Linked DNA regions of Lepisosteus oculatus. The protein of the gene in region 2 interacts with the protein of the main gene of each other region in a biochemical or structural test. Links are inferred from orthologs where the notes say so. Each region holds a gene or a part of one and is shown on either strand. Other genes may lie near its edges. The genes, in order: kin and mettl22.

The links.
Region 1: of the proteins of mettl22 (region 2) and kin, one has a biochemical effect on the other in vitro, tested with the Homo sapiens proteins (2 studies listed by BioGRID). The link is inferred for Lepisosteus oculatus from reciprocal best matches to the Homo sapiens genes METTL22 and KIN.

What each region holds. Positions count from the first base shown.
Region 1 is NC_090702.1:43,102,883-43,118,790, reverse strand, and holds the start of kin (DNA/RNA-binding protein KIN17), read right to left. Parts: upstream 6,542-15,908; 5' UTR 6,420-6,541; coding exon 6,306-6,419; intron 5,966-6,305; coding exon 5,871-5,965; intron 3,993-5,870; coding exon 3,949-3,992; intron 3,679-3,948; coding exon 3,556-3,678; intron 2,933-3,555; coding exon 2,751-2,932; intron 2,160-2,750; coding exon 2,111-2,159; intron 1,258-2,110; coding exon 1,200-1,257; intron 761-1,199; coding exon 640-760; intron 112-639; coding exon 61-111; intron 1-60. Other genes in the region: atp5f1c (ATP synthase subunit gamma, mitochondrial), read left to right, coding at 6,695-6,735, 7,664-7,698, 8,195-8,326, 9,137-9,341, 10,385-10,528, 10,618-10,682, 11,316-11,471, 11,793-11,893. UniProt on the Homo sapiens protein: Involved in DNA replication and the cellular response to DNA damage. May participate in DNA replication factories and create a bridge between DNA replication and repair mediated by high molecular weight complexes.
Region 2 is NC_090714.1:13,698,287-13,714,277, forward strand, and holds the start of mettl22 (methyltransferase-like protein 22), read right to left. Parts: upstream 6,322-15,991; 5' UTR 6,121-6,321; coding exon 6,015-6,120; intron 5,608-6,014; coding exon 5,281-5,607; intron 3,725-5,280; coding exon 3,684-3,724; intron 3,583-3,683; coding exon 3,438-3,582; intron 2,643-3,437; coding exon 2,571-2,642; intron 1,818-2,570; coding exon 1,764-1,817; intron 1,340-1,763; coding exon 1,259-1,339; intron 422-1,258; coding exon 319-421; intron 103-318; coding exon 1-102. Other genes in the region: transmembrane protein 114, read left to right, coding at 12,727-12,904, 13,017-13,097. UniProt on the Homo sapiens protein: Protein N-lysine methyltransferase. Trimethylates KIN at Lys-135 (in vitro).

The DNA.
Region 1 (15,908 bases), on a different chromosome or scaffold from region 2:
GGCTGGCCTCTCATTATGACCGTGTACAAGTGTGAAAAAGACTCAAATCTGAAGACTTACAGGATGCAGCCAGTAATCCACTCTTGTTGTTTTCTTTTTTTGTTCTTCCATCTAAAATAATTACGAAACAATCTAATTTTCTAACTGTTTTGATAAACCGATCCACAAGATGATATTTAAAAGTATAAATGGGGATAATTGTAACATCTTTTCTGCAATTTCCCTCAGGGGATCAATAAAGTATCTATCTTTTCATTTTAGGTTTTACATGTTTTATAATCCTGGAGCACTAGTGAAAATGAAATGCAGGAGACTTGGCGTTCATGTCAACATAATAGGTCTGAATTTTTATAGCCCTTATGGGCTTTACTAATAAGTAAGGACATGGACATTAAATGTTTCAAATTAAAATTGTTAAAATCAGTCATAACTCCCGGGTGTAAAAATGAACATAACTGAACATGTAATCTTAAATGAAAGATGTAATAAAATACACATAATCTTAATTTGGATAAATGCCCTATTAGGTCTGCCTAATGGGTATATTTCACCAACACTTGTAAATAAGGGCCTACATTTAGTACTGTGCACAACACATTGAAAACAAAGACTTCTATAATGACAATTTAGAAACAGTACCTCAATGATTTCATCCAGTGCAGATTTCTTCTTCTTCTCCTTCGATTCTGAGGTATGACTAGACTCCTTTCTCTTTACAGAGGTTGCTGCAACCTGCAGGGCACTTGGTCCTAGAGAAGTGCTGGGAAAATGATATGCTTTAGTTCTTCTTTTTAGGAATGCATTTATATTACAATTAAGAAAACAAAAGAAAATAATGAGAGTCAGGTAATAAAAAGAGTCCCATCAAAACAAACGTTTAGATTGATTATCAAGTTTAATATAACTTTTTTAAAATATCATCTTGTAACATACAATCTTCCATATTTATGTTAGTAGAAATGGAAGTAGAAACAGTCTTTTTATCATAAAACGTGCAAAAAGATTTATCAAGTCTTTATTCTCCTTAAATGTAAAAGTCAACTGAGATCATTTTAAACTCCCATTTAAAATAATACTCTAATCTACAGGTGTAAACACTGCTGTGCAGAAAAAGCAATTATAAAAGAAAAAAGAACAATCGCTAAAAATTAAAACAACCTGAAATTACATTACATGGTACTATTAATATTCATCCTTACCTTGATTTTGAAGAAGATGCTGCAGAGTTACTCAATCCCTTGGCCAAATTAAACACAACTGCAATATTAATAAATAATATTAACAACATGTAAAGGTTTTCCAGACCATTATGCCTGAGTTCACAACATCTACAACAAAATTAATAACTGAGTTAATCTTTTCTGTATCTATGAAGTTTCTTACAGTATTTGAAACTTCACCCAGGCATGTTGTTGAAGCAGATACCTAGGCATCCTTCAAGAAATGGCAGGATGAGATCCGCAGATCAACTATCTAAGTTGAGAGGCAAATACGTTAATGGGGTGAATGGCCTAATCTTGTTGTTGCTTTTACATTTTTTAAGATACTTGAAATTTCTTCTGATACTTTTCAGAAAATCAGAAGTAAACTGTGCTCTGGAGCAAAAAGCTTTGTGTGCCAGGGCAGTCTATGAAGATACTGCAGTACCAGAAAACCTGCCACTATAGGAAAGAAAAGGGCCTCTAACAATTGTAAATCAGTTCACTGGGTGACAGTTAATTATTAAATTACTGATGGAGAGATTGTGTCCACAGTCTTACATTAGCTGACTTAATAGCTATTATAAAAATGGACTTGCATGGCATGATTAGATGTTATTTTAGGTCAAGACACATTCATATGTTTACAAACAGAGCTTTTCTAAAGTTTTATGGATTATGGATTCAAGACCTAAAGATCTGCTATAAATTATCCCACACCTTATTTCTGTCAGCTATTTTAAATTTTTTGGTGAATCTTATCATATTTTCTTTCTCCTTAGATTCAATACTGGCACTAAAATACCTCAAACTGGATAAATGAATACTACAAACTTACTTGTAGTTACGAGCAAAATAACTTGTTTTTAATGACATTCACTTTTATATACATTAATGTTGAAAGTACTCACCCTTCTCTTCTTCATTTTCTCTTTTCAATTCTGTAAAGACAGGAGTTTCCTAGAAAAATAACATGGTAACTAAGACCAAGATCTTACTGATTTTGCTGGAGACGATTTAAATAATTAACTGCTGTAAGAGTGAGGATCTGTAGAGAAAGAACTTAAAGTGATTACTACTCTTTATTTTGGGTATTTATTCCACACAGGCCAAGCACACTTTAAGAACTAAGTATTCATTGCCCTTTAAGTTGAGCATGATCATTAGCTATAATTACCTGAAACACTGTACGTGTCATTAAAGAATGTTAAATAGATCATACTGTTTAAAAGAACATTTGTCCCATTTAACCGCTGACAAAAATAAACTCACAAGAATGTAGGTTAAAACTGCAGGAGTGAAATGTATAGCAAATGGGTTCTGAGATTCGTGATCGGATTTAAGGAACTGGTGCTTAAGGAACCGATGAGACAAAACCAACAGTCACTGTGATGTAAAGTTAATCCAGGCCATCTGTTGAAATTGGCAGAAATGTGGTGTTTTCAGCTGGGAAATGGACTTGGTTTATATGAAGTTTGAAGAGATGTGAATCAAACGTAAGCTTCTCTCATCTGTCGCGAATGCTCTTACTAATATTAGCACTGTGATTACCTCCTCCTTGCCTTCTTTGCCTCTGCGAACCTGTTCTTCAATAAATTTCGCACTTCTTTCTTCATCATCCAGATCCTGCTTTTTCTTCTTCTCTAATTCTTCCTGCCTTCGGATTGTTTCAGGATCCCGATCAATGTACTGGATATACCAGCCTTTAGGTGTCTCATCCACTTTACAGTATCCTAAACATAGAAAAACAGATTTCTATTCTCTTATACTTTAGCCCTACAAAGTTTAGGAACCTCTTATCAAAACAGTTCAAAAAGGCAAGAAATTGCGGGCCTGCAAGGAAATATTTTTTTCCATTTCACTGGGCATGCCTATAAAAGATTTCCATCCTATTCATGGTGTATGATTACCAAAGCTGTGGCTTTAAAGTAAGATCTGGTACCGATGTTTGGAGAGTGAGTGTTAAAGTGTGAAAATATGCATGGATAAACAAGGTTCTCTTAAAAAATATGATAAGATTTTTAACACAAGAAAATAATTAAAGCAGAAGAATGAAAAGCATTACCAACAACTGTCTAACTAGATATCACATGGAACAAGACATTTCTTTTTACAAACCTTCTATCATATTTAATAAATCCTATGATTCAGTATGTGAAACGTTAAGTTTAGATATATTTAAAATCTTTCAAAAATGATACCCAGAGAAAACAATGCCACAACTGGCTTTGTGACAATCAATCATGGGCTTAAATGTCCCTTTGATTCAAGGCAGAAATCCTCCCCTTCACCCACAGAACACTACTGCAAATACTGATATCCCTGGTAGATCTTTATCCATTTTAAAAAGACTTACCTTCTTTACCAAGCCATTTAGTGAAGTCTGTGAGGGTTTCCCACTGAGTAGAGTTCATATGGACATGTTCTCTGTTGCTTATATACTCATTATAGACAATATTGTTGTGGACTCGCTTTGTCCCTGCAAATACAACAGAAATCATTACTAAAATGATATATCAATGTTTTCTATTTGTATACTTTAATCCATTAAAGAATATGTTAAAAGCAGATGAGGTTCTCTGCAACTTTTACAATGGCAAATGTAAACACAGGCAAACTGTAAAATACAAAATTGATAATTGTTTATCTCCTCCATACTTTTCTTGTATGAACAGTGTTTAATATGTTAAACTTTAATATAATAAAGACTTAACTAAAGCATAGCTAGGTATTAATCCACTAATCTTACCAAAACGTCTTCTAATCAGCTCCAAAAAATCATTCTTGAACTCCCTAAAAGAGCAAACAACCAAATCAGTTCTATGCATTAATAGCAAGCAATCATAAATGCTCAAGTAAACCTTAATATTAATCAGAAATATAATTTATGTATTTTTGGTTAGCATTAATACCACAATTATATTACATGATATTTCAGCTGTTCAAGTCTTTATAACAAATCAGAAGTTTATTAGGAATAATAACACCAGGTAATTAAGTGTACTGAAAGGATTATGGAGCGTTTAGTCAAAATTTGGCTTAACCCCCTTTGTCTGAGGGCTAACCTCCTGGCCATAGGACGAGGAGGCTGAGACCTCTATGCAGAGTGAGGAGTGACCAAGGGGCAGCTGCAAAGGTGGAGAAGGGGTGGAGGTGGGTTGCAAAAGATGTATGTGAGGGAGAGAAGGGGATCACATACAGTATTTAAAGGGTTTTAGGAGAGGAAATAACATCAGGACTGATTGTGAATTACCGACAGCCCGGTCTGATTGAACCTGGCTGCCGTCATCCCTCCTGAACTATCGTTATAGACTCCATGACATTCCCCAAACAAGTAGTATTTAACATACAGAGGGTGCTAGTCCAGGACACACTGGACTACTGTATGTTCATGTCAGGATCTCATAACATAAATCAGCATCTGATACGTGTGATGTACAGGCCTCATCAAGTTCCTGGAATGAATGGATCTGACTTGAATCAGAGTCACCTTATTCATCAAACCTGGAATTTTGGTCTTCTGATCATTCCAACAAGAGCCTGGTGCAGAACAGGCAGACTACACAGTTATGGTCATAAGCAGGCTTTAAGGTATTTCCTCTAAGTTAAAGTGTCACCCGCTTTAAGTTATATAATATTTTTTTTAATTTTCTTCAACGAATGTTATTTCTTAGGAGGTAAGAACAGAAGTGCCTTGGGAACTCATCTTTGCTGATGATGTGGCACTGATGGCAGACTCAGAAGTAGAACTACAGGAGAAAGTGTTCAAATGGCAGAGGAGTCTGGAAAAGGGTGGACTGAAAATGAATGCAGAAAAATCTGAAATAATGGTAATGGAGAGAAGAGGAGATACTATGACCAATGTTGAGGAGACAAATGGAGGAAAACTGAAACAAGTTGATGACTTTAAATACCTTGGATCAAAACTGGTAAAGGGAGGAGAAACACTGGAGGCAGTAAAACAAAGAGTGAAAGCTGGATGGAACAAGTGGAGAGAAATAACTGGAATAATCTGTGACAGGAAAATTCCCAGAAAGTTAAAGTGCAAAATGTACAAGACTGTGATTAGACCTGTACTACTATATGGAGCTGAATGCTTGGCAGTTGGAAAGAGGGAAGAGAACTTGATGAGAAGAACTGAAATGAGGATGTTGAGATGGATTCTGCAGATTTCAATGAAGGATAAGATCAGAAATGAAGAAATCCGTAGACGATGTAGGGTGGTGGATGTGGTTGAGAAGATGCGAGAGGCGAGGTTACGGTGGTATGGACATATCATGAGGAGGGACGTTGAGGAAGTAACAAAGAGGGTAATGGAATTTGAGGTGGAAGGTAACAGAGGAAGAGGCAGGCCTAGAAAGAGATGGATAGATTGTGTGAGAAAAGATATGGAGGTATGTGAAGTGAGTGAGGAAGATGTGCTCGACAGAGACAAATGGAGAAGAGCAACCAAAGCAGCTGACCCCAGGACAGTCTGGGACTAAGGCTGTGAAAAAGAAGAAGAAGAAGAATGTTATTTCTTATCGGCACCGTCACCGTCTAGGTACTTCATTCTTTCTGATTTCCAAAATTTCCCATTGGCTAATCACCTAATATATTAACAACACAGGGCACAGTCAGAAAATGGAAATGGTAAAGGAACAGTCTTCAGTTGTCCAGTTCGACACTCACTCTGAGAAGTAGTCCATGAACTGGTCAGGATTCTCCGAGGCGAGAAGGAGCTGCCTCTGGTGCGACTCCGACATGCAGTGACATTTGAAGCCATTCTAGCAAGAACACAACAGGACTCATTCAGACCTTTACTTCGCGTTTTCTCCGTCTCGAATCACAGCAATTATCATTTGCAGTCAATAATTATGAGCTTAAAATACTCGACAGTTGCATCTGCCGGTCAGCACGCAGTAGCTAGTTGTATTTCGTCACTACATTGTATGATAATATTTCATAAAACATAATAATTGTGAGACGTTTTGTGGCGACATTTTCTTGTAGTGTGGTATGAACACGATTTAGACTTAATACCTTATCGTACGTTTAGCTTTTAAGTGTTATTTGTTAGTTGTTAAAATGTAAAACGTTGTGCAAACTAAAGTTAACCAGACTCACCTCATCTCTGCATTGTTTCTGACACATCTGACAATACCATCTTAATTTCTGAAGGCCTTTGGACTTTATCCTGTTGCTTATAGCTTTGGGACTCAGAAATTCCGCTTTTCCCATTTTGGAAAGCCAATGTTCACAAACAAAACAAAATAACGATGATCCCTGTTGGAACCAGAAGTTCACAACGCGCTCTCCTTACTGTTGCGTTTCACGTCATCAACAACTTGCGCTCCTTGTTTTCGGTATTGGGTCATTACGTCATGCTTACCCACACCGTCTGACCATCGCGAGACTGAGTTGGGCCATGTGACGTGGATTTGTTTGACTTCTTCTGCGGAAAGTGAAGTTTACGCGTGCGCAGTGAGTGGAGATTGACCTTCGTTGGTGTCACCATGTTCGCGAGAGCCAGCGTTCTGGTTTTTCAGCCACAATGGTAACGTGAATCTAATTGCAGGGTTAAATCCAAAACGATATCTGTTAATGTGCGGTTGGTTATTTTATGCTTTAGCACGAGTCAGATTTTGTGCTGTTCCGTAGAGACAGATCTTGCTTGGCACTATTTTACCGGTAGGCCTGGGCAGTTTTTTTTGTAGGGCGGCCAAGTTCATGCTATTAAGCGAGATTCATTGTAAGAAACATTTAAGTCTTTATTCATATCTTACCCACTGTTAGTATTTTTTGCTCTTTAAATTTGCATTTGCACAACACCTCATGATAATTTGAAACGCCGCCGTTGCATAAATGCTTACTGCGGTAACGATATAGCTCTCAATGTCACTTCTCCAAGACGAACAGGGCATTCATTGCATTATTGAGAATATGTTTCAAGCAAACATCAGACATATTAAAAACATATGTTTTACTATGTATTGTTCCTTTGTCATTGTGACAGTTAATATCTATATTAACGATATAGATCATTAGTGTCAGTTATTAAAACCGCCTGAACTGAAATTCCTATTTGAGCCTGTGCTATACTGTTTTACGGGGTGATTAAAAAGTTGTTAGCATTGATGTGGAAAACTTGTTTGTGGTGCAATTATTTAAGAAATTATTCAATTTGATGTGGCTACAAACATGAGTGGGCCATTTGGCATATATAGGCATTTAGAGTTTTAGTAGCTATTTGATCTGTGGGTCATATCTCAGCTTTTTTTTCAAACAAACGGCCGGATATCACCTTCAACATAGTGGCTGTGTAGCTTGTTCCACCCTCCTATAGCTTACTGTGTAAAAAGCACATCCTGTAAATTCCACAGACTACCTTTTGAATCTGTTTTGCATGCCAAAGGTGCACTGAATTGTAATGTTATAAATGAATCATTACAAATATTACTGACTAATATTAGCTTCTCTTGCAGTGGCCAAGTCAGGAACATGGCTACACTGAAGGACAGTAAGTATTGTTTAATAAAGTGTATTTTATCCTGTTATTTGGACATTTTGCTCATAGTTTTAGTGGATTTTAGTCTTTCATGATTAGCTGATTTCAGGTCTGCATCATTAGGTTAGTAAAGATCTGACGAGTGTGAAATGTAAAGCAAGGCATATAAATGTGAATTATGAAACTTTGCCAAGGGAAAAGGTTGGAAATGCATTGAAATTGTGGAAAACTTCTGTGACTAAAACCTAAGTGAACAGACTGTCTTAATTTCTCACATGCATTAATCTTTCTGTTCAGTGGACAGAAAATACCAAGATGACTATTCCTTGTAGCCAGAAATTAAGTGAATAATATTTTTCAAACATTGGTGCAATGGGATATGAAATGTAACTGTACTCTTGTCACTTTTTTAAATACTAGCCTGTTTCCATGCAGTGATCAGTTGAAATGATTAAAACCTTTTTAAAAATCTCTTGCAATTGTTCTTAGTGTATATATTTTTTTCTAGTCACCATTCGCCTGAAGTCCATCAAGAATATCCAGAAGATCACCAAATCCATGAAAATGGTTGCTGCAGCAAAATATTCAAGGGCTGAGAGATCTTTGAAACCTGCACGTGTTTATGGAACTGGGGCCCTGGGTATGTTATTAGTTTCCAGGAGTTTGTCACAGGGTGTCACAAACTGCCCAATATATTAATTTAGATATTTGCCACAATGGAAGCTAGTCTTTCAGAAAAAAATGCTGTTTGTGTTATTTTAAAAGCAGATTTTTAAAAATTATAAAATGATATATTAATGTCTTTTAAAATAGTGCATTATTATTCAAGGAAGATTTTACATTGTAGAAAACAGGATTTAAAGACGAAGACGCTGAGGGCTTTTACTTACACTTCTGTAAAGCACTTGCCACATAATCTTCTCTGCTTATGTGGGGGAAAAAAAGTTCTATAGAATAATCTATACTTCTGTTGAGTTATTTTATAACTTCAGATGGGCTGGCATGGTGGTACTGTGTTTAGCATTGCTGCCTTGTTGAGATGGGGCCCTAGATTCAGTTCCAGACCTGGGATGCTATCTGTGTGGAGTTTGTATGTTCATGTGTTCACGTGGGTTTACTCCAGGTGCTCTGGTTGCCTCTCACATCAAAAGACATAATGGAAGGTTAATTGGCTTCTGAGAAATCTGGCCCTGGTGTGAGCGTGTGTGTCTGAGTCAGTGGTAACCTTTGTTACCAGTGATGGACTGGCATCCCATCCAGAGTGCACCCAGCCTTGTGCCTGTTGCATGTCGGGATGTGCTCTGGCTCCCCTGTGATCCTGAATTAAATAAAGTGATTAGGAAATAGATAGGTTGGGACAGTTAAGATGTTTTAAGTGGGATAAACAGGCTTTTGGGTGACTGTAATAACTACCTGCCAAGCTTGAGTAGTGACTCTGATATTTTTCCAGCTCTGTATGAAAAGGCAGAGATCAAGGCTCCAGAAGACAAGAATAAGCACGTCATTATTGGCGTTTCTTCCGACCGTGGTCTGTGTGGTGCTATTCACTCCAGCATTGCGAAGGCCATGAAGAATGAAATCGCCAGTCTGACCAGCGCCGGGAAGGAGGTCATGGTGGTTAGTGTTGGGGACAAGCTGAGAGGTATCCTTCAAAGGTAATCCCTACTTTATGATAGTCCTGTTAACTGATCTTGTAATTGACTTTAGTCATTCATAACAAATGTCTGTTGTTGCTGCACGCTGTTTTTGTTTTTAATTGCTTTTCTTGAGTCCTGGCCATTTTATTTTTCACTTTTATTGAAGTGAAGACAGACAAAATATTGAAAGCCGATACCAACTTTGTATTAAGTACTGCCCTTAAAAGAAAAGTTCATAATGTACTTTCTTGTAAATCAATAACAAAAACTTTTTTTGTGTGTTTTTTTTTTACAATGGCACTCATTTATACTTTATATATAGTTTCGTGGCCTACATATTACCAATATGCTGAGCTGGGCAGAGAATATTAGTGCAATTGTGAAGAAAGCCCAGCAGTGTCTGTACTTTCTGAGGTGCCTAAAGAGGAGTGGCACCCACAAAAAAGCACTGGTTAGTTTGTACCGTTGTGCCATTGAGAGCATTGTGACTGGAGGTATTAGTGTGGTTCGGCGGTGCTACCCAGAAGTACAAACACATTCTCCAGAGAGCGATTAGAACAGCCGAAACATATCATTGGAACAGAACTTGCTTTGTTGGAGAATCTCAGTACAGCCCGCTGCAGGAGCAAGGCTCACGACATCCTCAAAGACCCACTCCACCCTAGCCAAAGTCTGTTTACCTGGCGAGACGCTAAACATAACCTTCGGCGTCGTGAGCAAGAGAGCATTAAGACCCGAAGGAACAGGTTTACGAACAGTTTCTTCCCAAGGACAGTGCCAACCGGCATAACGTATAGGAGGCCCACATCAACCTCAGCTCCGTAGACGCAATGTCTTTTATCACGTGTAACTTAGGAGCCATTCTTGTGTGGATTTTTTTTGCATAATAGTGTGTACAGGTTGTGTAGAGTCTTTTTTCAGTTTGTGTATATAGTGTCCTGCACATAGTCTGTGTGTTTACCCTTTTGTCTTTATGTTCTCTGACTGAGTGAAACGGTGTAAGATTTCCAACGCGCTGTTCGTGCAAATGGCAATAAAGGTACTTGAACTTTACCTGGCAGGACCCATGGAAAGCACTTCTTACTCAATTGCAAGGAAGTAGGACGCAAACCTCCCACTTTTGGGGATGCTGCCACCATTGCCACCGAGCTGCTCGATTCCGGATTTGAATTTGACCAAGGCTCCATCATTTTCAACCGATTCAGGTAAACATCCAGAACCTCATTTTAAACTCGCACGTTGGAGCTTTCAGCATCGGGTTGCATTTAAAACGGCTTCTTTTGTTTTTTCTTAGGTCTGTTATTTCGTACAGGACCGAGGAAAAGCCTTTGTTCTCCCTTGACACCGTTGCCAATTCAGGTATGTTATCCAATGAGAAGGATTCTTTTTACAAATATACTGCTTATTAAGTGTTTGTTGCTAATGAAGCAGTGTGATGATGAGCAAAGGTGCTATTTGCTTGCAAGTAGAAGCAGTTCAGGAATTCTCCAGCAGCTCATTTTGTTGAAATCCCAGGTGCTTTAACTAATAGGTGATAAATAATCTGATTATGCTAACAGGCATACAATGATAAGGTTGCTGGCTTCTGTGTTCCACTATAAAAGAGAAAATGGTTTTGAAAAAGAATCAGTGCCATTACGTTAACTTGAACACAGAATTTTATTTTCTTCACAGAGACATACATTGCATGAATGCCTATTATAAACATAAAATTAGGATTTTTATTTTCAGAAATACCTTCTCTGCAGTTTCTGAACACCATTGGTTTGGATTTCCCATGCAGGTTATTGAGAGAGAAAAAAAAACACTTTGCATTTACCTAAAAAATGTTTTGATTAAATGAAATGGGATATACTTGCTATTATGTGTATCTTGTGAGTTATCTGGAACATTTCCACCACATGATCAGAATTACATTAAAATTTATATTAATGAAACAACAGATGGATGCATTAAGCCTGTGTATAATGTGTTAATTTTTGGTCCTTTCAGAAAACATTGGTGTCTATGATGACATTGATGCAGATGTTCTGCGAAACTACCAGGAGTTTGCTCTGACCAATATCATTTACTTCAGCTTGAAGGAGTCAACCACCAGCGAGCAGAGTGCTAGGATGACTGCTATGGACAGTGCTAGCAAGAATGCTTGTATGATTTGTATATTTTTATTTTAAAATGCATTTTAGACTTTCAGAATTTATGAAAGAGCTTTCTGAGTTTGCCTTTTACAATAGTCCAGTCTTCTGCAAACTAACACTATTTTTGTAATGTCAAATTTTTAAACCTCTCTGTATGATTATATTCTGAACCAAATCTTGTAAAACACATTTTTTTAAACCGATTGACACAGTCTTAGCTGATCTATTTGAGCAATTTAAAGACTTTTGACTTCTTCAAAAGGGATTCTCTTAATGACGTAATATCTGAAGGTGTGATTTTGTTAAAGATCTTTCGCTCTGTTCTTTGCAGCCGAGATGATTGACAAGCTGACGCTTACTTTCAACCGCACCCGTCAAGCAGTCATCACCAAGGAACTTATTGAGATCATCTCTGGTGCTGCTGCTCTGTAAGTAAAACACTGTTCACATTCATAATCTTCCCCTGTTGCATTTGGTTAGAGTTGGCATCAAAATCTAGTTGCCATAAAATGTTCATAAGTCATTTTGACTTGTAATTATCTTCATAAATAGTCTTCATCACCATTGGGGGGTGGAGTGGTGGCTCTGTGGCTAAGGATCTGCGCCTGTGGCTGGAAGGTTGCCGGTTCAAATCCCGCAGCCAGCAGAGGAATCCTACTCTGTTGGGTCCCTGAGCAAGGCCCTTAACCCCAACTGCTCCAGGGGCGCTGTACAATGGCTGACCCTGCGCTCTGACCCCAAGCTTCTCTCGCTGTCTGTGTGTCTCATTGAGAGCAAGCTGGGGGTATGCGTAAAGACGAATTCCTAATGCAAGAGATTGTATAGGGCTAATGATGTTATGTTATGATGCCCTGTACATGTAGTTCATATTGATCATTTTTTGGACTGCTGTCCTGAGTAAAAGTACGATGTGCCCTATTATATAAACAGCTAAGGCAGAGTTCTTGTCCTGATCCAGGAAAACCACAAACCTTCCAGTTTTTCTTCCACCTGATTGAAGCCTTATTTGCAATAACAAGTAGCTAGATTGGAATATTTACAAGTTTTTTATTTTGTCCATTCAGTAATTTAATTGTCCTTAAGAACTGCAGTTGTTACAAATCAAACATCAACATGTTTAAGAGTTGAAAACAAACAGTAAAGCATTTCAAGTGAATCCTGATTCATGTTCAATTGTGAAACGGGGCTTTGACTGGAACAAAGTCCAGAAGGTGCTTGGACCTCCAGGACCAGGATGGAGGTCCCCTGAGCCAAGGCACTGATATTCACTCCTAGTCCTGGAGAGCCACAATGTCTTTAGATTTTATTCCAGTCTGGACTCATTGACCTGTAAAACCTGGTGAACTAGAGCACATCGGGAACGGGTGTGAATATCTCCGAGCTAAGAAAATGCGAACCTGCATTTTAAACAAAGACATGATCATAAAATCTTATGTTTTTGGAATATGAATATGATCCCTGTTAAATCATCAATGGACAACAATGTACTCTTAACACTCCTGGGTGTTCCTGTCTCGCGTGAAGTGGCAGCTAATTCCAAATACCTAAATTAGGTGTGTCAATGTGATGGCTTCAAATAATGTTTATGTACTGGCAGACACAGGCTTTGAATTGCAACATTTTTGTAGGATTTCCCCGTCTAGTCAGTGAAGAAATCAATGAGTATTACTACTTAGTGAAGTACCATTTCCTGAGGCCAAACTTCAATCAGGATTTAATCCTTTGTTAAAGATGTAGTTTAAAGGTTACTCTTTATTTCAACTGATCCTTTGTTCTGATTTATTTCTGGCATGTTTTCAGAGATTGAAGTGTGGTTTTATCAGAACCAAAACCGAGGTAACGTGCCTTAGACTAGATATTGTGATTTTCATGTTAGTTTGTTCCCTAATTAAATATTTTTGGAAGACATGTATGGTTTTGAATCTCCTTTGTGGCTTGGCATTTTCACCTTTTAGAGATTAAAGATTTATTACATATGCTTTATGCCTAAATCTACTTCAGCTGTTAGTAGTTAGTGCTTTGTTCTGCCTGTGGATCTAGTTCATTTAGACAACCTGGTTTATTTTCATTCCATAGCAATCAACAGATGTAATATACATTGCACTTTTGTTATAACCAGTTTTATATGTTTTTGTTATAGATAAACATGGAAGACCAGCTATTATCAAGTTTCAGTAAGGTTCTGGTGTCCACGCTGAGAATCATCAGTTCTGTCAAGTATTCGTGAAACTATCCTCTGTTTGTAAAATATCTTCGAATAAACATCTTACACAGAATTGTAATTGTTTTTTTTCCTTTGATAATTTGCGTTTTACACAAAAGCAAAAATAAATTGTGTTCTACAAGTTGTGAAAACATTAAAGTATAGATCAATACTGCAATGGAAAATAACCCATTTCTTGTTTTCAAACATTTTGAAAATGAGCCGCGTTTACTAAATTTTAAATAAAGTATAGTAGGAGAGTCTGCAAACCCTTAGTTTGAGTTGGCTGCATCCAGTGTTAGACTGAGAAGCTTTTTCACTGTTCTGCAGCTAGATCTACAATGCACATTTCTGCCTCTTCCCACGCTGTTTAATGCAAAACTAACCTATTTTAATGGTACCTATACCAGAATCTCAAATCTCATAAGTCAAAGTCGTCTGATGTATGAGTGTTTATTAACTTTAAAAAAGAACAGTATTTGTTCAATAATACAAAGAGCAATTTTTTTTTGGGGGGGGGGGGGGGGGCAATTTAGAGATGCCAGCAGGTTGCAGGAATGTAGGGGAGAACTGGAGCATTGCCTGGGGAGGATATGCAAACTCCAAGCAGAAGATGCCCTACAGTAGAATTAGAATTAGAACTCGGGACCCAAGAGCTGTAAAGTATTAGTGATAACTTGTATACTACTGTTATAGTGTATCAGTATACTGTTATACTGAACCTTTTTGTATCCTTGCAGTTATTTGTTAAATCCTAATATTATAAGAATATCAAATTTAAGGTTATTTTTTGTGTTTAAGCCGAGTAGTGAAGTTGAATTGCTAAGGAGAGAGGTTAATCATGAAGGATACAGTATGTGCTACTAGGAATAGAATAAAATGCCACAAATTCCATATGAAACAAACTCAGATTTTAAAAAAGGGGAGCACAAGTGAAAGGGATATTAGGTAGAGAGAGAATAAGGTACAGTATACTACAATTTTGTATTACAACAGTAAAAGAACTGTCCCCCAGAGGTGACAATAGATTAAAAGGGCTAATATTTCCCCCTATTGTTTAGCGAAAACTTTTAAGTACATTCTGCAGACTGAAGAAAAAATGTTCTATATTAAATAGCATAGAAGTGAAAGTTGTTAAAAGTATTTTAAAATATTTAAAGAAATCTCCAGGGCCTGATGGTATCCCACCAATTGTACACAAAACAATAATTCATAGCCCATCAAGAAAAATCAGCAGTCTCTCAAGAAGGTGGTAAATACACAATGATGGATACACCTATCTATTCAAAAGGTGAAAAAACTGAACAAAGTATAGATTAATAAGTCTTACTTTTCTTACTATCAGCGTTATTGGAATTTTAATTAGATAATCATCCATCTGCGTCAATATGTTCAAGGAGAAACAGTTGGTCTTGTTTATCTCGTTAGAACTTCAGCAGTAGCAGTAATGAATACAAGTTGACCAGATGATTTTTACAATACTTGAAGTTCCTCATAATATGAATTCTCCAAAAAAGTACAGGTAAGGGGTAAAAGCTCAAAACGTGATTAGTGGTGTACCACAAGGATCTGTATTGAAACCTCCACTCTTTATAACTTATATTGAAGATCTACATTACGGAATAGTGAACTTTTCATATTGGTGTATACTATCAAAGAATATTGTTATTGCTTGAGTATTTCCAGATGTACTATTTTAAAGTATAAGGTTTCTTCATTGATAAATGAATTAACTATTTTCATCATATTGTTTATGAAAAGAAACGATCACTTTGTGCTTGAAACGGGGACAATACCATCATTACTAAAAAATCAATAGTATTCAACAAAACCCAAAAGCAATTGACAAAAAGTGCTTTAATCTGCTTAATTAATGTAGTAAGTAACATTTCAAATAAAACAACTGTGGAGCCAAAATGCTTCACACTGGTTAATGTATACATTAACAAATGGAATAACTTGAATTTCAAGCTACGAGAGCTTTTGCCATATCTCAGAATTCACTGAAGCCCATTTTACAAATACTTAATGGTATCGGGCAAAAAAATGAATCAAAGGTTTCTAAAAGAACAAAAAGGATACTTAAAAACTTTTGTCGGGGAGTGTCCAATTCTGGTCCTGGATGGATGGTGTGATTGCAAGTTGTCTCAGTGTCTTAGGCAGCAGCACCTGAAAAACAGAACGAAGTCTTTAACTGGACCCAGTAAGAGCAAATTAAAGTAAACAAGAGCTTAGTTGGAAGGA
Region 2 (15,991 bases):
ACCGTCCGGCCGTCAGCCAGTTTCCCCAGGGCCTCCAGGCAGGAGCGAAAGTGATCGTACGCCTCACAGGACACGTCCATGTGCCTGAGTGTGAAATTCAGCCTGGAACAACGTCCAAACCGAACTTAAGCATCAGTGCGGAGATAGTCCACAAATGAGCTCCTGATGATGTGATGGATGTGTTCACCGAAATATACCATCCCCTCTGCAGAAAGCGGAGCCCACAGCATTCAGGACTGAAACGTCTCACGCTCCAACAGAGTCGCATGAAAACGGCTAATACAGGTCAGACACACACGCATTGCATTCAGGAATTACCTTTTCTCAATTGAGAAATAGGCAGTGCTCGGGTTATGTAGATTGCCCATGATTCTGTATAGTGTTCTGAACAAGCCATCTGTCAGCTCGTCATCATAACACACTGAAAAACACAACACAATGCAATTAGAAAAACACTGGGAGTGCGACACCGTTTTTTAGCCTTCCATCCAGGTTATTTTTAGGTCATTTAAATATTATATAAAACCTTTAAGACATACACCCAAACATATCACATGAAAACCTCATGGAATGAAGACCATTCATTCAGCCTCCTAAGTTTCACAGTGGCGTGGAGCCCAGCTGCTGTTTACTTGTCAGGAGTTGGCTGTCTGCTCTCTTTACTCCATTGCCATATGTTGCTTTTCATCAATTTGAATTGTTGAAACAAACAGAGCAATTAAAGAATACTTTCAGAGAATCAGTCTTTCCAGACCCAGCCTACTGCCAGGGGCAACTCAGGTTACCGCTGAAACAGCAGGGAGCTGCGACTCAGCAGAAAGATGGTTTGACAGGACCCAGGTAAGACTAAATATTATCTCCGGGGCGGAGTGGTGGCACTGTGGCTAAGGATCTACACCTGTGCCTGGAAGGCTGCTGGTTCAAATCCCGTGGCCGGCAGAGGAATCCTACTCCGTTGGGCCCCTGAGGAAGGCCCTTAACCCCAACTGCTCCAGGGGCGCCGTATAAATGGCTGACCCTGCGCTCTGACCCCAAGCTTCTCTCCCTGTCTGTGTGCCTGTGTGTCTCAGGTATGCAAATTCCCAATGCAAGAAATTGTATATGGCTAATAAAGTGATTTCTATTAAGTAATTAACCTGTGCTAGAAGTGATCTTATCTTATTATCACATTCCACTCTTTCCTGGCTGCCTCGATTGGACATGTTTGCTTTAACTGACTGTATCACAGGTGCGCATCTTATCTGGGCAGCACACGGACCGTCCGCAGCGATCAGGACTGTGGTGTTGTCGTGGAGATCCGCGATGTCCTCCTCTGTCCAGCTGAACTGCCGACCCGCGCCTGCAATGGAGCGGCGGTGTCAGTCAGGCACCGAGAGGCCGGTGAGGTCACCTCCTCGCGCCGCCCCGCTCCCACTTGGCACGCGCCCAGAGGAAAACACAGCTGAAGCACAGTCAGCAAGCGGCAGACTTCAAATCAGCTTCCAATGGATTCTGCCACCTCAGGACCCTATCAACTTACCAATGTTCGCAAAACAGGAAAGCACATCTCACAAGAAGAGCAAACAACATGCTCCTCAATGTAGCAAACAGATTAGAGCATTAAACAGAACACACAGCTCCTTTTTTTCTCGGATGCACCTTATGAAATGCCTGTGCTCATATGCACAAGTTTAGGGTGATTATGTAGGTAACTGTATCACACAGATAAAGAAGTAATTACTCCTGGGGTTCCATTAGCAATTCTCTCATGATCATAATCGTACCTGTGTGGAAGTCGTCTCTGAGCCAGTCCAGCTCCCGAACTTTGATTTCACCTCCTGGTAATGAAAAGAGGTACAGAAACAATTAAACTGATGTTATAGTAAACAAGGCATCCCAATGTATATAGACAACAGGAGCTTTGATATTTTCAAAATCAGGTACCAAAATATTGTCTTATGCATGGAATGTTCATTTCATTTTTTATGAATTAGTGGCAGAAATGTGTGGTTCAAAACATTTAAGAGAGACTACTGACACTGAAGACTAATTACACAGATTAAATGAATTAATTCCCACAAAAGCGTCCAGAAATTATTGCCAGCATTCGAGGAGGAATTACATTTATGAAAATGCACAGTACTTAGAATACGACAGCTTTAAACAAATAGAAATAATTCAAATTCAATTTGCAAATTGAGCCAGAAGTCATTTTGTTTTACTAAAGTTCATCCAAAATAAAGACTGTATGGAAGAAAATCCACTATTTCACTGAATATCTAGGCTTAACTTGCATTTTTAAATTTGGGAGTGACTAGAACAATACAGCATTCAGCTTCACAATTAAAAAACTCTTTAGAATTGAAAAGAGAATCCTTTGATAATATGGTACTGAAAGCTTCTCCTAAGCGACCAATTTGTCTAGGATATCAGAAGGTAATGATCTAATCTAGATTCTTGCAGATCAGTGCCCAGTACAACCACGTACAGATCAGCACACTGTGAGAGTGACCCAAGTGAGTCACTAGAGGGAACCAGTGTGTTCATGAAATGCCCAGGAAGTTCAGCCTATTTAGAAAGCAGTATCTTACCTGCAGGCTGCAGTATGTGCTTATTCAACTCCACATTCCTCTCACACATGCTCAGCAGATCTTGACCAACATCTGAAAGACACGGCACAGTAAACAGACACACAAATTGATCTCTCGGGTCATACAGAAATTGTCAACATATAAAATAACTGCGTGTCTACAGAAGATTTCTTAGGTCTCTTTGTAGCGGAAGAAAATCAATAACCTCATCTTTGCCCTATAGCCCCTTGATTTTTTTCTTGACATATTTCACACATAAGTGAAAATCCAGATACTACATCAAATATTCATCAGAATTTCTCTCTGGTGAACTTATTAACATTTTTAAGAACACATTTTCCAGCAACTCGCTTTCCAGCAGTGACTCACTTTCAGTGTCTTTCATTTCCACAGCAAAAGAAAAGAAAAATAAGCATCCTGCAAGAAAATAACACAGCACTGCACGCCCAGCTATCTGAGTTTTGTCATCTCCTGGCGGCCTTGTTTTTATTTTCTAACGGAGGCACTGAGGTCAGCATGAGGTCAGCATGAGGACAGGAGGTGTGAATGAGATTTCCTGCAGCAGATCACACCTTTCACTTGCCATTTTGGGCAATGAAGTCATGCTGGTGCTGGTTTATCCATGAAAGTGGCGCTCCAGGCACATGCTGGCTATCCTATGACTCAACGGATAGTGAGGGGGAGAAAGACAGGGTGAAAACGCAGTAAAAGAATGGGAATGCTTGACTCAACGATTTCCCCCGGGTCTGCACCAATCGACAGGGAAACAGATACGTGCACGGCCTTGTGCAGCAACCTTCACTCATTATTACAGGTCTTCAGCTCAGTCTGTACTGTATCACACTCAATGTTCCCAGACACGCTTACCTGTACAGTAAACGCTGCTGGCAACCGTTGCCAGGACAACGCTGGTTATTCCAGTCCCGGCCCCCAGTTCCAGGGCAGTGCGCCCCCTGAACAGCTGCTGGCGCGACAGAATGTAATCGGCCATAAAGACAGCACCTCTCCACACCTAGCGGAAAAGGAAAAAACAAAGAGAGAGAGAAGTCAGCTACAAGGTGTGTTCCACAGAAACGAGATCCATGTTACCAAACGAGACGCACGGACACGCACCTGCTTACCCACATCTTCCAGGGGTGTAGCCATTGTATGCTCTGTTTAAAACAAAGGGCACATTTCTGGGGTTAGAATCCCACTCCTGGCAAGGAATTACCTCACACACGCTGGCGCACGTGCACACTCAAGGGCCACGGAGAGAGTGGTGATACAGCTATAATAATATCACTTTATTAACCCTTTACAATTTCTTGCATTAGGAATTATCTTTTCACATACCCCAGGTTGCTCTCCATGAGACACACAGACAGGGAGAGAAGCTTGGGGTCAGAGCGCAGGGTCAGCCATTGCTACAGCGCCCCTGGAGCAGTTGGGGTTAAAGGCCTTGCTCAGGGGCCCAACGGAGTAGGACTCCTCTGCCGGCTGCGGGATTTGAACCGGCAACCTTCCAGCCACAGGCGCAGATCCTTAGCCACAGAGCCACCGCTCCACCCCAGCCTGGGGTCAGAGCGCAGGGTCTGCCATTGTACGGCGCCCCTGGACCAGTTGGGGTTAAGGGCTATGAAGCCAATTCAGGCAGATAAAGGCCGATACAGACAAACTAAGAGGACAACATTTAATATGACTCAGCTCCTTGGCTGGTTCAATGGAAGAGCATCGTTTAAACACTCTATCTTCCACTGTACAGGCTTTGCCATTAAAAGGGCTGTAAATCTCCCTTTGTTTTATGAAGCACCACACTCTGAATGCCCTCGCTTTCACAGGCCCATTAACACAGTTTTTCACTGCTGAAGTCTGCCCGGCATTCGTCGTATTTTCCATTAATTTAAAAATGAGTCGCATTTCATTACGAAAGCTGAAATTACCACCAACATTATTTTTCCGCGTTCTCAGTCTTGGGAATAGGATTTTCATTTTATTTTGTTAAACCGGTTATGTAAAATCAATAGCTGGTGAGAGCATGGTGGCACAGGGGTTAGCACTACAGCCTCAGAGCACCCTGAGGGCCCCAGGTTCAATTCCAGACCTGAGGTGCTGTCTGCACGGAGTTGGTATGTTTGTGGGTTTTTTCCCACAGTCCAAAAACATACTGGTAGGTTAATTGGCTTCTGGGAAACTTGGCCCTGGTATGAATGCGTGTATCTGTGTTTGTGCGTGCCCTGTGATGGACTGGTATCCTGTCTAGGGGGTACCCTTCCTACTGCCCTTTGCTTGCTGGGATAGACTCCGGCTTTCCTGCGACCCTGAAGTAGACAAAGCGGTTTGAGAATGGATGGCTGGCCGTCCTTTTTTTGCATAACTGGAGACTTGCGACTCTCATTCTGTTAACTTCATTCTGATTATGAAACTGTCTGGGATTTTTAAATAGGATAGAACAAAGATCGGCACAAATTAACATAGCAACACAGCAACAACTCATATAAACAACTCAACACGTAAACATGAATTGTTTAACAGCAAACTTTCTTCCCCTTTTAGGATAACAGCACATTTGTGAATCAATATTTCTATTAATTTCAGCACTGGACACCAACAGCATGTTAAAATGCGCTCGCTTTCTTTACATCACAGGCAGCCAGAGGACCCTTTTCTGAGCAGCAAGGGTCTCATGGCTGCTCAGAGGGTGAGCTTCCTGCCACAGAAAGACTCTCACCAATCTTAATGACATCCCTGTCAGCAGCCGACTCCTCCTCATCACTGTACTCCCCCTCCCCTTTACTCAGAATGATGGGACAGACTTTGTCCCTCTCTGCCACAGCTCCCTCTGCCCTGAGGGAAGCCGTAGGTCTCCGCAGCACGTCCAGATCCCCGTCTTCATCCAGGAGGGACTCCATAACCTGGCGCCGCCCCCTCTCTCCCTCCTCTTCCTCCCCAGGCGAGCCGCCTCTCTCTCCAGGTGCTGCAGACACAGCCACTTCATTTCCTGGGATGCAGGCAGAGCCCGAGCCGTCCTGCAGAATCTTAAACCTTGAAACGAAAACTAAAAGAGGAAGGGGGAAAAAAGGAAGCTGTTGGCCTAATTGATGACCTTTTCCTTTTCAGGGCACAAGAAGAGATATCGCTTGGGGAAAAATCTTGATTGATACCAGGATTGATTAAACAATCTAATAGCGACGGCAGGAATGAAGATAATATTACATGACAGGAATCCCCAACATTAGAGTTTTACTATGTAGTACCCGTCTAAGAACATGCGCATTTGAAAGAACTTCAAAACACCAGACAAGAAATTCTCCACAGTCCCCAGTCCAGACTAGGAGACACTGTCCCTGCTCTGACTGGTCCCTTACATAGCATTGTCCTGGCTTGAGCCGGCACGACAGGTGGACAGGCGGATTGCGGGCAGTGACACACTGTCTGTGCCGTCTCGGTCTCCCGCCCCCGTACCTGGCTGCCCCGCGGCGTTGAGGCGCGCCATCAGGCGCTGCCCGCGGGGGAGCAGCAGGTGGACGTCGGACAGCACGGTGTCGCTGCGGAACGTGATGAGGTCCATGGCGAGAGCAGCATGACGGGCACAGTGGGCCCGGACCCGGGAGCCAGTCGTTTCACCCCGGATCTTCGCGGAGTTTCGCCTTTGTTCGCGATGACCAGCTCCAGTCCCTCTGCAAGGCAGCACACAGCAAGGTGGGCTTCTGATTTGCTGTCGTGGGTCCTTCAGCAAAGCCTCTGTTCTGAAACCCTGCCAGCCGCTGTACGCAAATCAACCAGGAGAGGTTTTCCTTTGAAGAAATAAACCAAAGGCAGAATCATTAAAATGAAGGAGTTCTTTTCTCCCAAGTGCAGTGTTCGGCAATATGCACTGCCATGCCAATTTTATTGCCCTGCTACACAAGGTTTTGACTTGCCTGAAAATATACATCATGGTTTCTCCAGTGCAAGCGTCCAACGCCTAGACATTTTCTAAATCTACAGAAACTGTAAACCAATTACACAGCAGGTGGAATCAGTGAAGGATTTGGAAGATAAAATTAGGCTCCAGGCTTTTTTAGTGCCACAGATACACACCTCAATATAATTCTTCAATCACGACTGAAAAAACTGAACAACCTATCAGTTACTTTGTAGGATTAGTAGGGCTGTATTTAAATTCCAAGCTATATAAAGAAAGTCCTCCACAGTAATAAACAGTGCATTTGACTGGTTAATCAGCAGGAAGACAGAAAGCTCAATTTGTTTCTTAGCTGCAATGTAACAGAATGTCAAGGGAAACAAATATGACTCCCAATGTGCAGCAACTCAATACATTCTAGATTTTGCAAAGCTGCAGGCTCTTGTACAAACTGTACAAACAAAGCAGAAAATCATCATGTATAATTCATGTCTGTAATTTCAAGTGGGGTAACAGGCTTGAAATTCAGTATAAATCAACTTGCTTATGTAAGAGATTACTATGTGGGTACTATATATAGTATACATTTATCCACACAGTGCTCTGTCAATATAAAATGAGCATCTGCATAGCTTATTTGGGCTGTTAGTGGAAAAAGAGATCTAGCTTATTAAACAGTTCATGTCAGTTTAAAACATGAGTTTCAGTACAGATTCAGATATATAATTAGTGGGCTAAACACACATTTCTTCTTCTTTGGCAAGTTGGTACACATTATGCACAGATTTGGGCCTACCTTTTGCATTTATATGAAAATACAATGAGTGTACAAAACATTAACGATGCCTGCTCTTTCTTTGAAATAGAATCCTTGAAATTCACCAGGCGAATCCAGGTGAAAGCTTTGACCCCCTAATTGATTTCACCTGTTAAATCCACTTCAATCAGTGTAGATGAAGGGGAGGAGACAGGTTAAAGAAGGGTTTTTAAGGCTTGTGACAAGAGAGACTTGGATGGTGTACTGTATGTGAGGGAAAATCAGCAAGAAAGCAGATGTAAGTGCCTTTGAACGGGGTATGATAGTAGGTGCCAGGCATGCTGGTTTGAGTGCATCAAGAACTGCAACACTGCTGGGTTTTTCAGGCTCGACAGTGTCCCGTTTGTATCCGGAATGGTCCGCCACCCAAAAGACATCCAGACATCTCCAGCAGGCTGGAGGTGGTGTGATGGTGTGGGGTGTGCTTTCAAGGCACATATTGGGCCCCTTGATAAAAGGGGAGCAATGTTTGAAAGCCACGGGATATCTGAACATCACTGCTGATCAGGTGCATCCCTTCACGGCAGCAATGTATCCATCTGGGAATGGATTTTGTCAGCAGGATAATGCCCCATGCCGCAAGGCTAAGATTGTCCAGGAATGATTCCATGAACATGACAGGGAAATTCAGCTTAATGCAGTGGCCTGCCCAGGCACCAGATCTCAATCCAATTGCACATCTGTGGGATGAGATGGAACAAGCTACTCTGAGTAGACATGCAGTATGTACCTGCATCCCTACGAAATGGTTTCAACACCTTGTCGAGTCCACGCCCCAGCGAACTGAGGCTGTTCTGAGTATAAAAGGGGTACAATGCAATATTGGGAAGGCACTCCTAATGTTTTGTACACTCCATGTATATATACTCTATCTTGTTATTTCATATTACCATATACTGGACATACAACACAGAAGGAGGTATCTTTTCTGTGATTAAGATGTAAATTTGCATTAAATTTCAATGTGTACAGTACATACACACAATATGTACAATATGTCTTTTTCAATTTGTAAAAATTGCTTTATCTTACAGAATTTTCATTACAACATTAAATGTGTGTACTGTACAAAATAAAAGAGTAATCTTTAAAATGCATATGGGTTAAAACATTTAATCTATTTAAAAAAGGTTGTCACTGTAATCTTAGAATTCCCCTGTTATGCTACTTTCTACTGTATTTTCTTCACATTCAGGTCTTCATTGCTTTTTAGTAGACGTAACAGATTTCAAAATCACCAAGTTCTTTTTGAGCCTTATGGCAAAGAGGCAAGAGACTTGTATTGTGCATTCACTATACTGCTGAAGGCTTAAGAAAAGTAAATCAATGCAGTCATTCTCCAGCTATGTACTCATCCCAGATTAAGGCTAAATAGCTTCTGTACTCAGGAGTAGGCACATAAATACAACATAATTATGCAATGAGCCAAGTCTAGATGCCTGATGTTGTACTTATGAATTATTAAACTACTGTTGCTGGCTTGATGGGAAAACCAGTAAGATTTATTTGTTTGGCCAACTCCCAAATCTGGATTTTCAAAATATTTTTTTTAAAAAGACATTTAGCCAATTTTCAATATTTGTTCATGCTAATTAATAAAGTATCTGACATTTAACTGACATCAACCCCTGACTATATCTGTTACAGGGAATCTTGAGTAGTCATTGGCTCAAGTCACAACCCAGGGCTCCTGAAAAGGTTTCTGTCAGAAACTAACACAATGCATGTGAAGCCTGGAGGAGAGAGGTGAGATATACAGCTCAACGTTAAGTCTGACTTGCCTCTTCTTTGACCTACAGTGATTCTTAAACAGCCTGTTCAATGAAGACGAGATGATGGGAAAACCACTGATTTAGAACCACACTTACAAACAGTTGATCCTGCCAATCAAAACATACTTCCACTAACGTTCAAATGGTCCTAAAAGGATACATCAGTAACACCCACTACAGCACTGAAGACTGCTCTGCATGTACAGTAGCACACCCGGGTCTCTCTTTCTCTGTAGGTCTAACAGGAATAAAAGGCATTTCCAAATTCTGTTAACATAAAAAAATCCCCTGTAGCATTTTGCAAAAGCAATTGCCGAGGAGCCCTGGATAAACTATGCAATGCAAACGGCTTTAGGCAAATTCCCAGTGTTGTTACTGACACTTCTGAATTCTGGATGTTGCTCACATGTTTAAAAAACCACCATCTCAGCACATCAGCCCTCAGTCTTTCTGCGCACTGCTGTGGAAAATAACAGAATTTAAGAGGCCTGATTGCTGGTAGAATGTCAGAACAACCAGTGTGACTTTCAGCCTAAGCCACTGCTCGCAATGCCAGACGTTTAAAGATACTGTTTTGGCACCAGGCTGTGAATTATCGTCACAGCTGTTGCCAAATTTAGGCTAGTGCTACACTCAGAACCACTGCTACACCTCCGCATGACTTCACTGTCAAATCCCGAGCTGTGGCTAATTATAGTTACTATTTTTATTTTTACATTGATCAAACCTTATTGCATCTTCGCCTGTCACACCTTTTGTTGAGTACACTGCATTACAATGCATGTCTTACTTCATTAGCTTACACTGCAACATGATTATATCACTTGTCGCACTTGGTGACAGTTACTGACAAAATAATACTTTTACCTTATTGGGGAATTAACGATTATTTTATGCAAGATGCGTATAATAATGGTTTCAGCTAATTAAAATCAGAGTACTATCTTGTCAAAAAACAAGCATGTATGTTTCGGTGTATATGCATGTTATAGCCTTGAGTCAAAAGGTACATGCTGTCTTTCTTCTGAGGCTGTTTTAGTATTGGGGATTTTATATTTTACCAGTTATATTTATTGACAGTAACCTTTATACATAAACATCAGTTCCTCGGACTGTTCGCTGCAGTACTTGGAAGAAACAACACTCAATGTAAGTACTGTAATCGTCTCGCCATTTGCAGACACAGTCCGTCAGGTGCCACCTATTGTACCAGAAACAGTCAAGTCTGTTGGTAAAACGGACAGCAAATTACTGTCTGCGTCTTGCAGAACCTTAAAAGAGGCTCTCCGCAGCCTGCACTTTGATTTAACGCACACAAGTCTTCAGCTCACAACCTTCCTGAAGCACTCTTCTTATTTTCGAAACTACCTTTAACTTCAGGCTTGTGAAAATGTGGAGGGGGTTGTGTTTCCAACTTACTGTAACAAGAAAACGGACGAAAAGGTTACAAAGAAATAGTTACTTGAAACTTACAGAAATGGCAGGGACGTCGGACGCGCACTACAAGTTTCCTTTGGAATTTGTGAAGCCAAAAACAAATACAGCTCTACGGAGATGAATAATGACGATTAACACTCTACACACGCAGTTGTAACTGTTCAAAGTTAAAATAGTACCAGCGCCTCTCGGGTTTGCACATATCCTCTCGCCCCTATGTACAAACCCCGTGTTTGACAGTTCAGTGCAACATGTATTACAGACCGACAGCCGTAGGAGCTCAGGAAACAGCGGCATCTTAGTTCCGAGGTCTAAAGACTTCGGATGGAATGAAAACTGACAGAGAGGAATTAATGAATCTTCTTTTTTCTTAAGTTTTCAGCAATGCCCGAATTAGTTATGACAATGCCACTTGTAATTAACACAATAACCTCGGGGATGGATTTTTCCCCCCTACATATAGACTTTTCTTCATCTATCGCTGCTGTTCACCCCATCCCTGTATTTAACCCTTAATGCACTTAACCTTAAATTCCAAATTTCCTAGCAAAAATCCTGAACAAAACATTAATTGTAGCTTTACATTGAACTCTGAATGTAGCTTTCTAATTTAACCCTCTGTGTCTTAACTTTAATATAGACACTAATAAATTACCCTAGCTCTATACTTTACTTAAATCATCAATAAAATAAATCTCAAATTTAGCCTTTGTTTTAAGCCTAACACTATAATTAACCTAAATCTTAGTCTTAACTTTATCCCTGACCACTACTTGATCAGTTTTACCATAACCCAAATCTTACCTTAGGTCAGCCTTACCCTTAAAACCAGCTCTAGACTAAATCGTAAACCTGAAAGTAACCTAAACTCTAATCCCAAATCCAAACCCTTACGTCACGGGTTAGTTACAGCTACAACTGCACTACAGACTGCGAGTATCCGAAACACGTTTGTATTTCGTGTTGTAATTATGTTTGTTTAGCCAGTCTCCAAATGGCATCCGGGGGGATTGTCGTAACATAATCGCTCTTGGCACAGAACACTTGACTACTGATATTATTACCACCGTTGCCTGTAATATTGTAATGAGACAAATCATCATACTCCTAGACGTAGGAGCTCCGATGGCGCCTTCCAGAATGTATTATCTTGGAAAGAACAGCATGACACATTACCGTATTGAATTGTGAGGTTTCTGTGACAGGGGTACTGTACGACTGATTGGAATTCGAAGTTTTTACATTTTCCTTATCGATATCGGTGTCAGTGTTCAATTTCACTGCGTTTTGAGAGAATCAGAAAAAAAAAATCTGTTTTCACTGTTACGTCTGGACTGAGGCGGCGTTCGCTGTGCTTCAGGATATGTTTCTATTGAACGAGCAAATTAACATACTGTGGGTTGGCACATATTCAAGTCTTGTTTTAAAGCGCTTTTAGCATTATTAATGACTGCCATGCAGAAACCTACTGCCCCTGCTACTCAGAAAGTAGAGGTTTATTGACAGTTGAGATATGTACTCTTGATTTTCGGTGTCAGGGATTTACATCACAAAAAAGCTTCACAGTTTCGGAGTTCGTTTTTCTCCAAGACTACGAGGTGAGGCAGATAAATTAAATGAGTCCGACTGTACCCAATTAACCCGGAACACTAATCTTATTAAAGGACGTATCTGCGTTCTTTCTTCCCAGCCATGATCATGATCATCACCGTCGTCACCACAACGCAGAAACAAACGGAACGATTTTCAGAAGGGTTTAAAACTTTAGAGCCTCTTAACTCAAGTTTACATGCGTTTCTGTGCTGAGATGCAGAAATACTACGGGCAGCGGATTTCAGATTCGAAAACGAATACAAAATTATTCGCCTACACTGGTCCTATTCCTGGACTATAATCGCTTTTGAACAAAAGAGCTATGTGTAAAAAGAAAACTCATTGGCGAGCTCTGTGCACAGCGCCACAAAGCCATTTGCAATTTAAAGCCGCCATCACCTATGATTTAAATACATATCACAACAGGATTTTAAACGAATAGGATACTGGAATGCATGACTACATCAAGACCTAAAAATGTGCCACCTACTGCCAACAGTCCTCGCTACAAGGGATTGTGCTGCAGACCCACAGCGGCCAGTAGACGCCAGTCCACATCTGGACCAGATACCTCCTGGGTTTCCTTCCAGTAATCTTTCTACGGGAGCTAAAATGTGAAAAGTCCTCTTTCCTCTACTCGTCCCAGCCAGGATGAAGCTTACACTAAGCGCTCTGGCGATTTTTGTGGCTCTCGTCGGTGTCCTGAGCTTTGTGTTTCTGGTTGTTGCTATAGGAACTGATTTTTGGTACATAATTGATGCGTCGAAGTGGGACCACAACTCTTCTGCTCATCTCAGCTCTCATTCCGGACTATGGAGAACTTGCAATTGTAAGTTATTTTCATAACGATTTACCTATTGCATAATTAAAACTTAATATTTATCCGACTGAGTCATGGGACTGTTAATTAATATTTCGTTTTAAATTTATTTTTTTTACAGTAAAAAGCAACTGCTTGCCGTTCGTAAACCCATTTGGAAATGAAAACCTAAACATCACAGACTCCCAGAAGCAACTTCTCAGTAAGAATCATTTTAAGAGTCTATATTTTTAAACCTGATGCATTTCAACATTCTCAAAACGTTCAAGTAGACCTTTAACCAAACTCTTGCGTATTATTTTTGGTTCTTGCATATTTCAGAATGTTGGTGGCTACTGTTTGTTTTCCTTCCAGTGGCTATTTACTCTTGTAGAAAACAATAACAGCGTGGTCCGTGGCTCATATATTAAAGGTTATAGACATCTGGGACAATTTAATTGAGCTGAATCATTTGCATCGGTCTGAGCAATTTACAGGCTGCGATATTCGTCTGGTCGCACTTCAACCACAGTTAAAGCGCCGGGGACCGGAAAAGAAAAAGAAAGCAAAAAATGATTCGGTCTGGATTGGTTCTAGGTTTTGTTTGCTGCACGAAGAGGACTGCTAATAAATTGCGCTCGCTTTATTGTTGTGCCTGTTTCATATTGTAGCACAGTGAGTTATCATCATCTCTCCGTTCCTTGGTGTATTTTGAGACAACAGCAGATCTCTAACCTGATCAATACAAGCAGACACGCATGTTGCTTTCCCTGTCTATAAAGGGTCGCTGCTATAATTAGGCCGAGATCAAACAGCTCAAGGTGTTAATTGTACGTGAATAGTTCCCTAAACTGCTCGCCTCATGCTTATTTTCACTTAGCACTTTATTATTATTACATTATTTGTTTTTCTTCACAGTAGGTTTCTTAATTCCTTTTAGATTAGGCATTAAAAAGATATCAATTGAGAACTGAGGCATGAGCTGTATTTCTGCACTGATATTTTCTGTTGTGCTCTGTGACAAGGCATCTGCAGTCCTAGTATGGGCAGACGAAGGCATACAGGTTCATCAGAAAGCTTTACATCTTTAATAATTGAAGACATTTCAGAAACGTTAAGCTGTACTTATTATGTGATAAATTGTTTGAACAATCAGTACATTCCCAGAGTCTGCAGGTTTCGCCAGTGGCTGCACAATTTCATTCTCTTGTGCAGACGACCAGAAGTGGTGTGGAGAGGCACATCTTTAGATAGCATACTGTATCTACAGTCAAAATGACACTTCTGACAAAAAAAATGGCAAAACATTTAAGTGGTACATCATGGCTGCCAAATTTATGTGGGGGGCATTTTACATTACCATTGTATTTATACAGCAGGATGGATTGTGTACCTGTAGGTGCCAGTAATGTTGTTTCTATAACAGGATGGGCCACTGAAATAATTGGTGTAATGGTTAATAGCACTTTGAAAATGATACTATTACCACAACTACTCCGAGACTACTTTCTCAATGAGATTTGTGCAGAAATAAACAGAGGATGTGGAAAGGGTCTGATAATTCATGACCTCACACCTTACTTAATTGAAGACCAGGTGAAGTAACAATACACTATTGTGGCCCTTGTTAGTTTGTAAATGTTTTTAAAGGTCACAGTGTTGTAGATGTGTACAGTGTACTTGATGCAGAATTAGAAAAATGTGTTGTCTTAATCCTTAGATTGTGTTCTGATTAATGTTGTATTCATTAATTGCCTTTCAGGCCAATATCTTTTTTGTGCACATTAATGATAATAGATTTTTAAACACACTCAGATAACATAAGAGAGTGTGTATACTGTAACTATACAGATTCAGGAAACATGATGGATTCAAAGAAAAGTAAATAAGACGCTTTTGAAGAAAGATTAGTCTTCTGCTGCAGCCCAGTGCAGTTAGTGTGTATCACCTGCCACCTGCTGTTGCCAGAGTTTGTTGGATATCTGCCCTGACATCTCTCCCAAACTGAGGATTAGTGATGGGACTTGTAATGTCTTCCATTTGCCAGCATTCGTTATCTTTACAGTCTGAGCGGATGAGCTCGTGTGGCATCAGTGCCGATGTACATCTGTTCTGGTTTGGCTAAATTTATGCAATCTTCCTTTCCTCCTATGCATATAATTTTCCTGAAGAAACAGGCATTTCCCTGTTGCAGGTGAGGATCAGCTCTGTAAGCTGTGAACCAAATCTGTAAAAAACAACTGCCAAGGGATGAACTTTGTAGTTGTTTTGTTCTGCAGACATTTAGCACTAAGTCTATCCCGGTCAATGCTAGTTTAAACATTTTCCTGTGTTGTGGTTGAGTAATTTTAACACTGAACTGGTATTTAAACAAAAAAAAAACTCCTCTGAAATGTCAGAGATCAGGGTTTTCATCATGAGATGATTCAGTGCCTACAGAGAAAGGGAAGGAATGACTCTGGACAGCTGAACTGCTCACAAATCAAAGCCTTTGTGTACTCCTGGAAATCAATGAATTTCTGTAGGTGAGAGCAAGGGATTTCGCAAGGAAAAAACATGCTTAAAATCCCAAAAAAAACAACAGGAATACTACTCCAGTTTGGTAAAGAAGTTACCTTTTAGATTTTGCAGGGCCACCGGGTGAAGGTTCACAGATTTGCAGTGCCTGACATTCTTGGCATATCGTTTCCACGAAGGGAAGAACAGAAACTAAATATCACACAAGACAATACGAACGGCTGATGTTTACAGGCACTCAGCTCGTGTGGCTGATAATTAGACAAAGCAGCACATCCCAATATATTTCCTCTGGGCTTAGCTGATTGTAATGAGGTGCTTGAGACACCCACTCTGGTGAAACTCAGAATCGCTCCCTGCTGCCACTCATAGAACAGTATTGAGATCTCCACTCCACGCCATTGTCAGGGCAGCAAATTAATTGTGTGTGTGGCCCTGCACAGGGCAGTACTGCATCTCCTGTCAGAAAGCTTTTGAGATGCGCCATTGCACAGCCTTTTCAACATTATAGAAAGTGACAAACCCAACAAGAAATAAATCACAAGAACCTGGCAAGGCCAGCAGATCAGATCCGTTCAATGCAAACAATGCTTATTAAAG